Mus musculus: one gene and its partners. The protein of the gene in region 1 interacts with the protein of each later gene in a pairwise test. Links are inferred from orthologs where the notes say so. Each region holds a gene or a part of one and is shown on either strand. Other genes may lie near its edges. The genes, in order: Ralbp1, Amotl2 and Tsfm.

The links.
Region 2: the proteins of Ralbp1 (region 1) and Amotl2 interact in binary tests that used the Homo sapiens proteins (3 or more experiments, as listed by UniProt). The two-hybrid records come from large-scale screens. The link is inferred for Mus musculus from reciprocal best matches to the Homo sapiens genes RALBP1 and AMOTL2.
Region 3: the proteins of Ralbp1 (region 1) and Tsfm interact in binary tests that used the Homo sapiens proteins (3 or more experiments, as listed by UniProt). The two-hybrid records come from large-scale screens. The link is inferred for Mus musculus from reciprocal best matches to the Homo sapiens genes RALBP1 and TSFM.

The regions. Positions count from the first base shown.
Region 1 is NC_000083.6:65,882,668-65,886,412, forward strand, and holds the start of Ralbp1 (ralA-binding protein 1), read right to left. Parts: upstream 2,257-3,745; 5' UTR 2,011-2,256; intron 1-2,010. UniProt on the Homo sapiens protein: Multifunctional protein that functions as a downstream effector of RALA and RALB. As a GTPase-activating protein/GAP can inactivate CDC42 and RAC1 by stimulating their GTPase activity.
Region 2 is NC_000075.6:102,716,576-102,720,320, reverse strand, and holds the start of Amotl2 (angiomotin-like protein 2), read right to left. Parts: upstream 2,518-3,745; 5' UTR 2,419-2,517; intron 1,929-2,418; exon of another isoform or gene 1,608-1,928; intron 241-1,607; coding exon of another isoform or gene 179-240; coding exon 1-178. UniProt on the Homo sapiens protein: Regulates the translocation of phosphorylated SRC to peripheral cell-matrix adhesion sites. Required for proper architecture of actin filaments.
Region 3 is NC_000076.6:127,028,275-127,032,019, forward strand, and holds the start of Tsfm (elongation factor Ts, mitochondrial precursor), read right to left. Parts: upstream 2,541-3,745; 5' UTR 2,524-2,540; coding exon 2,470-2,523; intron 2,363-2,469; coding exon 2,189-2,362; intron 1,409-2,188; coding exon 1,280-1,408; intron 214-1,279; coding exon 91-213; intron 1-90. UniProt on the Homo sapiens protein: Associates with the EF-Tu.GDP complex and induces the exchange of GDP to GTP. It remains bound to the aminoacyl-tRNA.EF-Tu.GTP complex up to the GTP hydrolysis stage on the ribosome.

The DNA of each region.
Region 1 (3,745 bases):
CATAAAGTCTATCAGGAACTTTCTTTTTAAAAGAAAAGAATAGCTGGGCATACATCCAATCCTAGCACTTAGGAGCCAGAAGCAGGAAGCTCTATGTGTTCTCAGTTCAAGCATCCACATAGGAAGAAGGATCCAGGCCAGCCAGGACTCCACAGTGAGACCCTGACACCCCTGTCCACCCCCCACCACCACAAAAAAAGAAAATAACGGAACATACTTTGGGATACTGTTGTGGACCTAATCGTTTCTTCCCGAGCTGTGACTATGCAAGTGTAACTGTACAAAATAAAGTTAATATTCACTTTTAAAATTTTTTATTATTTTTAATTATGGGGGGAGGAGGGCCATTGCCTGTGGAGACCAGAGGTCTTGGGTTTCCTGGGAGCTGGACTTACAGGCAGTTGGGAACAGTTACTGGGGAACAAACTCTGTAACTCTCCAAGAGTCACACTGCAAACGTCTTAACCAGTGAGTCCTGTCTCCAGCGCCAGTACACACTTTTTAAAACACCACTTCGGTCTCTCCAAATTACGAGGAAAATGGTCCCTGTAAACTTATTATGAGAAACCACATTTTGAAAAAGACAGCAAATTCAGCTATTGTAACTTGTTTCTAGATTCTCTGTGATTGTTTGTTTGTTTGTTGTTTGAGACAGGATTTCTGTTTAGCCCTGGCTATACTGGAACCCGCTCTGTAACAAGGCTGACTTCAAACTCACAGAGCTCTGCCTCCAGAGAGCTGGGACTGAAGGTGTGTGCCACCACCAGCTGGCTTCTAGATACTTCGTTTTAAAATTTACTTAACAGCAACTGCTATTAAACTAACCTATCTCTCTTGGGTCTATGGGACACACTGAAAAACAAGAAGCACTCTACTGACTGCAGACCTCTGAAAATGCTAACACCACTAACAGGAGTTCTTCATTTTGAAGAAGACATCCAGGACCTTGAAATCATCGAGATAATTCCTACTACAGAAAGTGATGGGACCTTTCCTTAAAGTGCTGTCTGAACACTAAACCAAAAGTAGGCTTATAACTTATCACTGAGTACTTTGTTAATAACGGCCAAGTATAGGTAATGCTACCCCAAAGCACCAGTGTTAGCCCACCCCCGTTCCATCAACACCACCAAAGCTGGGCAGTGCAACAGCTCAATGCCCACACTATAGCACTTCTGTCACAAGCACAGACCTCTAATGAAAACAGCTGTGATCTCTAAAAACCTTAGGGTACGCACGCTGCTCTCTCTGGAAGAATCCTTGTAATAATCTCCAAACTTGAACCAGCCCTACCTACTTCAGGAGACTGGAAAGTGGAGTAATTCGTCAAACCTGTTTCACAACGACATATTTAAAAGATGGAAAAAGAAAGCTGGCCTCGACTGAGAACACTCTGGTACGAAAACGCTTGAAAACGCCGTTGAGAATGGAGCTCCTAACTCCAGATCAGACAGAACACTTCTGAACCCTGGAACAAGTACCACTGCAAACAGGGTCGTCCCCTTGCCCAACGCCTGCCACGGGCGACAACAGGAGCTGTTCCCCCGACTCTACCCGGCAAACACGGAGACAGGTGGGCGAGCCAGATGCGCGAGGCAGATGCGACCCATAAACCGGAAGGCTTGCGTCAGGCCAGTCCCCGGCCGCAGCTCCGGCCAGGTGTGGCCCGCAGGGATGCCCCGAGGCCTGGAAGGGTCCGAGGAAGCAGCTGGACTCCCAACTAGCCTCTGGGTCCCAGAGCAACACAGGACACACCCGGGTGCTCCCAAGGAGGCCTGTCGGGCAGGCGGCGTGACCCACCCCAAAGGAGCAAGCTCCGGGGTGAAGCTTTCACGGACAACGTAAGGCGGGGCGGCCACGCCCCCCACCCCCAACTCCCATTCCGAGCCCGGGATCCCAAGCCCGGCACGCTGCGTGACAGGCGCGGGCGCGAGGCCGGGCGCCCGACGGCTCCCACGGACACCGCCGCAGCGTTGCGACCCCCGCGAGCGTCCGCTCCCCGCCACTGACCAGTGCCTGCCGCCGAGCGACCGTCCGCTCCGCTGCAGCCGCCGCCGCCTCCTCGCACTCACGCTTCCGCCACAACCGCCGCCTCCTGCGCTGCACCCCGGGCCGGCCGCGGGAGCCCCATTCCCACCCCGCCCAGCCTTCGCCTGTTTACAATGATTGGGACAGAACAGGACGAGCCGGCCCAGCGCGCACGCGCACGCCCTCCTCCCGCCGCAGCCGGCTTCCCGGGTCCTCGGCTCCTTGGCCGTGACGGCTAGGGCCGGCTAGGGCAAACGCCCCGCGTCCTCGCGTGGGGCACGCCGGGAGTTGTAGTTCTAGTTAACCCAACGCCCCGCTGCTGTAGGGCCCTTGTCTCCGACATAAACCACAACGCCCAGAAAGCACCGCGCCTCCCGAGCTGGAACTCGTTAAGGGGGAACAGGGAACCCGCGAGAGGATGCGCCAAACGCTAAGGCTCTGCAGGCGCCTGCGCAGTGTTCTGGGGAGCGAGTGGAACACACACACCTACCGGAGCGAATCCAAGTGAAAACAGTGTGGGAGCCCTGCGGAGCTCTGCTGGAAAGAAAGCGCGTTCCTCCCCAAGCTCTGGCCTGGTGTCCGCAGCTACTGAGAGTGACACTTTTCCCCCCAGCGTCTGCGTACTTTAAGTGGTTCCAACCAGTTAAACCAGCCTGGGCTGCTGACCCACCCCGCCTCTGGGCGGAGCACCTTGCTGGCCTTCTTTGGGCGGAGATCTTCCTTTGGAGAATTCTTGCCTGGGGGTTTGGAGAAAGGAGGCTTCTGGGGCCAGGGCTGGGCAATCCGCAGGACCCCTGAAGTGTGTTGACTTGCGGGAAACTGCTGGCTCCCACCCACTTGCCTCCGCAGTTAGCAATCCATACCCGAGTTAAAGCCGCACAGCATCACGTTCAGCTTACAAATAGAAACAGCTGCGTATCCTCCAGAAGTCCCCCACGAAGGACGGAAAACGTGTTGGCTGGTGCATACTGTAATAAACAGCACTCCATGGAATTATTCTGGGTTTATGACATTGGCAGTCAGAAGAGAGATGAGATTTCTAGTGTCTGCTTCTTCACTGATCCATCGTGTGCTACACTCCCAAGCCATCTTTGCTCAAATATGACAAGTCCATCCCCTTGTGCAAAAGAGTCACTCCCAGTGGAACACTGAGGTCCTAGAGGGACCTTTCCACAACCCCTGTAGCAATAAAACAGCCTCCATGAGAAGATGGCCTGTGAGTACGCCAGTTAAATTACTCCTTCCCGCTGGCAGTTCTGATTTGGTCAAGGGATAAGCACTGCCTGAGCGGGGCTTTATGGAGCCTTCCCTGGAATTGACATATGGGATAATGAGGTGGGGAAAGAGGCTTTTTTTTTTTTTTTTAACTGAGTAATTTACGTGTAACATCACGTGACTCGTTCACCGTGGAAGTGAATAAGGCTGAAAGCAGAGAAGTGGGGGACACAGCAAGGGAGAGGGAAAAGCAAGAGTGAAGACTGACTTCCTTCTGAGCCATAGTTTCTGCAGAGCCTTTAAGTGCCGCGTTTACGTGAGCCAATCCAGGAGTAATCTATGCACACTTTTTTTTATTATTTATTTGTGCTAATGGAGGTGCAAATAAAGAGCATATTTATTGGCTGTTTCTCAGCAGTCTTCCCTCCCCCTTAAGGAACACCACATAACCATTTCCGCTGGTAACTGTTTTAGAACTAGGCATCATGTCCAACCAGAGCCA
Region 2 (3,745 bases), on another chromosome or scaffold:
GTGCTCCGATCTCCAAGGAAGCCTGGGGGCTCCCCGTGCCCCCAGCTCCAGCCCCACCCCGCAGGGCCTGCTGCTGGATAGCCAGCAGAGTGCGAGTCTCTGTCAGGTTGCCGTAGCGCAGCTGCTCTTGGATGAGACGGTGCAGGACTGTCCCTGAGGAGTCTTCCAGTGTCCTCATGCTTCTCTGGCTTGCACACACCTGCCTAGACAATGGCCAGCAGGCACCTGGTCTCAGAGCACCTAAGAGACAGAAAGAATAGCAGTCAAAGGAAGCACAAACAAAGGAGGGAGGGGCACTTGCAGGAACACTCTGGATGAAGGAGGAGGCTGGGTGGGTAGGTGGGTGGTTTTACACAGGCCCAGATGCAAGTGCTAATATGGCCATCTATTGATTAAGTTTAGTTACTGAGCTTCTGATCCTTAGTTTGCCATTAATATAAATATATATATGCATATATGTATATACATACATATATATGTACACACACACACACACACACACACACACACACACACAGTGTGTCTCTTGGAGTTGAAATGTAAGAAGCTGAGCGCCTGGTATGCTATAAATCCTTGGCAAATGCTTATCATTGTAACATTTATGGAGATTTAGCTGATCTTACAGATATACAACAGAAAACCAGAAGGCTATCTCATATCACAGTCCCCGGCAGTCAGCCATTACCCCAAACAATCTCATGGGCAAACTGTAGGACAGGCGTCCATCAAATTCAACCACTTAGCAATAGGGTTCCCAGTTTACTGGCAGGCGGTAAAGAAAGAATGTAGCCCAGCAGAAAGAAGCCCTAAGCAAATAATTCCATTGATTCTTTAGAATAAAGACGCGTGAGCCAGACCCTGGGCTCAAAGGCTGCTGATAAAATAAATCTGAGTCTCCCTGTCACAGATGACCTTAGCAGCCACTCTGCAAGGTGAGCAGCACAAGAAGCCCCATGGAAATTGGTGAGGAGGCAGAGGGGAGCTTGCAGTAACTGAGCCAGGGAAACATTTTCCATGACCACCAACCTCTTTTCTTGGCACACACATTTGCTACTTAGAAAAACCCCTCCCTACGTGTATGCTAGAGGCACACAGGGGATGATCCCTCTGCATCTCTGTTGATATTAGTAACAACTACCTATGCCAGTTGATGGGGTAATGAGGCGAGGGGGGAGACAAAGGAAGGGGGTGGTGGCCCCTTTCTGTGCCATACTAATGCTAGCCCCCTGTCCTACCTCAGTTTGGGAATGGTATGTTGGCAGAGCTGGAGAAAGGTAATGAGCCCTGACGATACCCAAGCCAGCAACTAATCCTCCCCCCCCCCCCCAACTGCACCCTGCAATGTGTAAGACTTGAAGAGTCTGCTCACACGCGGCTTTTTCTACGCGGTATTTCCTAAGTTAATCACTGTCTGGGCTGACTCGCGCTAAGGATCCGGGAGCGGCTAGAAGGAATGCTGAGCCTTCCCGGCAGATTCCAGGCGCGCCGACTATGAGCCAGGCTCTCGGAGCACCGAACATTTCCGAGGCCTTTCATCGCACAAACGTCCCAATCGAATCCCCTAGATGCACAATCTTTCTTTCAAATACTTATATAAGAGCACTTACTGAAAATCAACTTCCTTACACGGGCGCTGTACCTGGGCTGCACTGGAGCGCTGCACTCGGAAAACCAGCCACCTTTCTAAGCAAACACGGGTCTCTGGCCTTGGCCTGGGCTCACTCCAGCAAAAGGAACCAACGCTAGTCTCCAAGTCAACCAGGCCAGTCCAGGGTCCCGGCGTTACTCACCTCTACCGAGGCAGACCACTAGCACCGGTGGCTGCCCGAGCGCCCCGGGCGAGCAAAACCCGCAACCGCGAGAGGTCTTTAAGCATCGCGGGTACGCCTCTCTCCCTAACCCTCTTTGTTTTCCAAATACTTCAGCGCTGACGTCACCGGACTGGACAGCAGGCTGCATTCTTTCTAAGTGAGAGCCAGTTCGTGGCTCCGCAGAGGATTTTCCAAGGAAGACAAAGAGGAATTCTTGAGCTAGCTGAGGGTAAAAGCCACCTGTATCCCCAATCCAGACAAAGCAGCCACGGTAACCTCATAATTCAGCGAGATATGCCTACCGCAGCTTTTCACTTGCCCCGCACGCGAGACGCACACTCCCAAACACTGATCCTCTGTCCTTCCTCCAGCCCCAGTGGGTCGGAGAATGGTGTCCTCACCCCCACAAAAGCGCGAGCAGTCTAGGCTAGACACCCAGGATCGATCCTCGAAAGGGTTCACAGTCTCCCCTCCCGCTCCCGGGGAGGCTCGTCCACCCCAGCTCCGATCTCCAGAAAGGGTCGGACTGATCGCGGTGTCCCGCTGCTGCTGGGAAGCGTCCCCGCCGGCCTCGCGCACTGCCCGGAGTGCCCGGCACCTTGCTTACCGCTGCGGCCCGCGGCTGCCGGCGCACGCAGACCCGGTTCGGCTTAGGTACAGTCAGCAACGGAGGTGCGCACTAGTCGGTGGCGCCGATGATCTGCTTGCTCGCGCCCCAGTGCGCAGCCTCTAGGTCAGCCCGCGCTGGAGGCGGCTGCTATGCCAGGAATGTGAGAGTTTCAGGTTCCCCCTCGGGATCAAAGCGAACCACAAATAACCTCTCAGCGCGCCGCCCTCCTCCGCTCTCCGCCTCCCTCCGCTCCCCGGGCCAGCCCCCGCCTTCCTCCCGGGAGGCGGCGCTGCGGCTGGCCGCTGGGCTGGCCTCAGCCTTGTCCCCTTGCCACTCTGGGCTCTGGCGGCCGTGCGGCATTCATTCCCTGCCACCCTGCTTTGTGTCCTAGCTGTTGGGAGTGTCTTAACCAACTCGTCCCAAGATCGCCCCACCACTGCCCGCACCGGGTTCTCACCCTCCATTCCTACAGGCACCGAGGGACGACTCCAGGGATCAGCCTCTCACGCCCCTATGGTGGCTGTAAGAAGGGTCTGTGGCGTTTTGGAAATGGCGGGAGGACTGCACAGCAGTTCACATCCGCCCAGCCTTGACAGTGTTGCAGACGAAACGATGTTTCGGCCCGCCGCTGCCCAGCCTCTTTCCTAACTCCTACTATTTCACCCCCCAGCGGCAAACTTTGAATTGCACTTTTATTGTTTACAAACACCTTGGCCAGCTCTTTTAATCCTGCCTCTACAGGAAGTGTGTGAATCTGGGTTGAAAATCTGGTGGATTTAACCCACTACCTAACTAAATGAATCAACCACTCACTGGGCATTCGGTCCAACTCCTCCCTAACTCCGCTCATCTTTAAGCCAAGCACGCGGCGGGTCACCACTTGCTTTTTACTCGGCCATCCGACTCCAGTAACCCTCCGACGGTGCTCTTATCATGTCTGTAATAAATAAGAAACCAAGGTTCAGAGAGTCTAAACAACTTGCCTAGGGTCACACAGAGAGTAGCCAATGAAGCCAGGTCCCTTTTCTTGGTCTTCAAAATCCGGTCTCCGTAACCTGACAAGGCAGAGAGTCTCTGCTTCCACCTACCTGTCCCGAGTTTCAGTGTCTTTTCCACCTCGTCTACACCTAGCCAACCCTCTTTGTCTTCCGCTTCTCTGGCTTTTGGTGTGGAATCGACTCCTTTGTCATTTGGACCCTTCTACTTCCCCAGGAGACTCCTCCAGCTTAGCTGCTCTGACTCCCTCCCCTCCCCGCCCCCCCCACCCTCTTTCTGGTTAGAGCGTGCATTCCTCAGTCCCATCCACCTCGAATCAGGACCAATT
Region 3 (3,745 bases), on another chromosome or scaffold:
TCACCCCAAAAAGGTAAAAAAAGAAAAAGAACAGACCCTAAAATGTGGAAGACAAAAACTCAGCAAGCTGGAGCCGACCCTCACGCTCACCTTACTGTACGTGGAGAGCCGATCCGTCAGGTTCTGACAGTGTGCCATGGTTCCCAGGGCTACTTGCTGGACCAACTGTTGAAATTTTAAATTTCTGGAGACAAAATCTGTCTCACAGTTTACCTGTGGGAATGCATGGATATTGCTGTATAAGCTGTTTACTAATAGTTTCTAAAAGTGCCTTAAGGTTGGAGACCTGTCCAAGGTATTGACGGAACAAGCTGCAGGCCCACAGTTCCGGGGTGGCAGAAGCCAGGGAACTAGTCAGCCGAGGCCTGCATACCCAGCAGGATTCCAGAACACCCTGAGGGACTCGCACCATGGCCACTTCACCTACTGTTTGTGAAAGTGTCTCAGGCTGGCCTTGAACTCGTTAGGTAGACCAGGACGACCCTGAGCTGACCTTCTGGCCTCTACCTCCCGTGCACTAGAATTACACCCACAAACTACCATGTTCATCTCCCAAACCACATTTGTTTATGTTGTTCCTTTCTTGTAGCTTTATCTGTTTTTTACACGCCTTGACCCCACAGACTCCTCTAAGCCTGCTACTTACTAGTCATCAATACACCGAGTAATACATTACTATAATTACCAACTTTCTTACCGTGTTTTTTGTTTTGTTTTGTTTAAGAGTAAAGGCCAGGATTCCAGCTTGTAGCCTAGCTGCCCTCAAACTCACAGTAATCCTCCGGCCTCCCAAGTATGGAGTGAACACAGGCGAGAGCTGCCGCACCCTGCTACTAGTTTCTAAGTCCACCACTTACAGTCTAACATTTTAAGTCTAACATTTAGAATAAATGATCTAGGTTGCTAGGACAATTCCCATCAAGACATTTATATTCTTTTTTTTTTTTACCTTTAATATTTACTTATTATATATGAGAACACTGTAGCTGTCTTCAGACACACTAGAGGAGGGCATCAGACTCCATTGCAGATGGTTGTGAGCCACCATGTGGTTGCTGGGAATTGAACTCAGGACCTCAGGAAGGGTAGTCAGTGCTCTTAACCACTGTGCCATCTCTCAAGCCCTGCATTTACATTCTTAATCCCGTCACATAACGGAGGCCTTGGGGACTTCACTCGAGCCACCGCTTACAGATTCCTTAAGCATGCAAAGGGTCCACCACAGATCGTACTCTCCAAGATACAGCTGTTTCTAGTATGTGGCATCCCAACAACGCACCTCTACTAAAACAGCTGTGTTTCCCTCCTGCAGAAGTCCAATCAAGCCTTCTTTAGTCTTCCTCCCGTGGAGCTTGGCGGCTTTGCTCCATCCTTCCTTCTGGGCCTGTTTGTGCAGCCAGTCCTCTGCCTACAAATGCAAAAGAAACAGAGGGGAAAGTCAGTCACAGGAACTAGAAATGAAAGGTACTTTAAAATATGTCCAAACCATATATGACTTTTTATAATTTCTTTTTCTTTAATGATTTATTTATCTTATGTATGAGTACACTGTATCTGTCTTCAGACACACCAGAAGAGGGCATCAGACCCCACTGCAGATGGTTGTGAGCCACTATGTGGTTGCTGGGAATTGAACTCAGGACCTCTGGAAGAGCAGCCAGTGCTCTTAACCGCTGAGCCATCTCTCCAGCCCCCATATGACTTTTTCTGCACACCCACATTCTATAAGAGAAACTACTAAATGCTTTACACCAAGCGCTGTAGTCGCTGTTGCTTCTCTACTTTTAATCTTTACAACCCCACTATAGGATAGATGGTAGTGTTTTCATTATACAGACAACGCTGACAACACGAAAGGATTCATTGCGATCTCCAGAGTTTGAGCGGGTGTGAGAGCCTCTGGAGTCTAACTCCTAAATTTATACAAACACCGATCTCCAGGCAGCAGCAAATCTCATAGCCATAAGGAACATGGAATTCAGCAAGTTAAGTTTCTAGGTTAACTGCTTCCAGTGAAAACGCAGTCGAAGGGTAAAGCTCTCGTTTAAGCCAAATTTTCCTCTTTGGCCAGTTCTGTCGCACAGGACACTGGGCAGCAGCAGGTCATGTCTATGCTCCGCAGAGTGACCCCCGGAAGGAAAGAATGGGGTGGAGCCGTAGCACCAAATCTCGCAGCACCTCCTCCCACCTGCTTGAGGTCACCGCCACAAGTCTCCAGAGCCTTCTTGCAGTTGACAAAGGAGTAGCCGGTTTTCCGCCGCAGTTTCATAAGGAGCTCCTTGCTGGAGGCAGCAGAGGACAGCGAGGGGCCGGCGTGAAACGTGAGCCATGGCTGGGACGGCTGGAGCAGGACAGCCCTCGCCTGGGGAGAGTAAGGAGAAAGGGATGAGCTCCCGGAGCAGAACGGGAGGAGGGGGAGCACCATCCGCGGGGCCAGGGTCGGGAGAAGGGAAGGGCGCGCGCGCTCACCGAGCGGCCGGTGCACGCGACCGGGAAGAAGCGCAGCGACCGCAGAAGCGACATCCCTCTGGCCCTCCCGCCCATCGGCGCACAGACGGGACGCCGGCCTACGGCGTGGCGCGAGAGCCAAAACGCCTCCCAGAACGCGTGGCGCGAGGATGCTGCCACCTGCTGGCAGGAGGGATGTGCCCGCTTCTTTTAAATTCATTAAAATATTTCACAAAAGACTTAGCGGTAAAGTTGCTGCGAAATAACAACACAAGACATGTAGGTGACACTTTGTTTCTTTATTTCCAATGTACTTTTATATTCATTATCCATTTATGAGTCCGGACACACACACACACACACACACACACACACACACACACACACACACACACACACGGCAGGTAAGTAGGGTGGGCTCAGGAAATTGCCCAAGGTCACCTGGAGAAGCAGAGTTCCTTCAACAAACCCAATAAATAATTGCTGAATTAGTAAAATATCTACTGAACATATGTGTGCCCGGAGCTGTTGCTAGTTTCAGGGGATCGGTGATGCATAAATCATAGCTCTACCCTCCAATGCATCTATTGGTCTGAGGAAATAAGAATCGGGTAAGGCAATATAAGGTCCCTAACCAGTTAAAAGATCTCCAGTCAAGGAAACCACATCCAAACAGAAAGCTCGGGAAAAGGAGTGGTTTCTTCTTATTTTTCTTTTTCTTTTTTCTTTTTTTGATTCCAGAAGCAAAGCATAAGTGTAGACAGAGAGCAATGGCCCTTCCTGGAAGGGATCATCGGAAAAGTGGAGAGGCCAGGGAATGCCCATAGAGTTAGGGAACAAAGCGTTAAGACACTTTAGCTAAAAGTGCAAAAGAAGCAGAGTAGGAAATGAGATACAAAGTAGTTTAGGAGCAGGTGTGTGTGGCCTGAGTACCAAGCAAAGACGTTTGTTCTGACAGTAGAAGCTAATTAGAGCAGGTTTTGGAAGATGGCAAGAGCTTGAGGCGTGGCATCTAGGTTAAGAGAACAGTGGCAGACACATCAAAGATGGTTGTGTGCCGAAAGGCTAAGTAAAAAAAGAGCCAGACTGCTGCAGAGAGGGAGAGACAAGAACCGAAGGCAAAACAAGAAGGAAAACCTGACGTGGAAGGAAGAACTAGAGATTAGAAGAACCTCGAACCCAATCCAGAATGTGATCACATGATGCCTGTGATCAGGTCTTGAGCTTTGCAAAGGATGAAGAAGCTACAGACCAACGGGACATCTCTGATTCTCCTCCTGGGGCTCAGGTCTAGGAA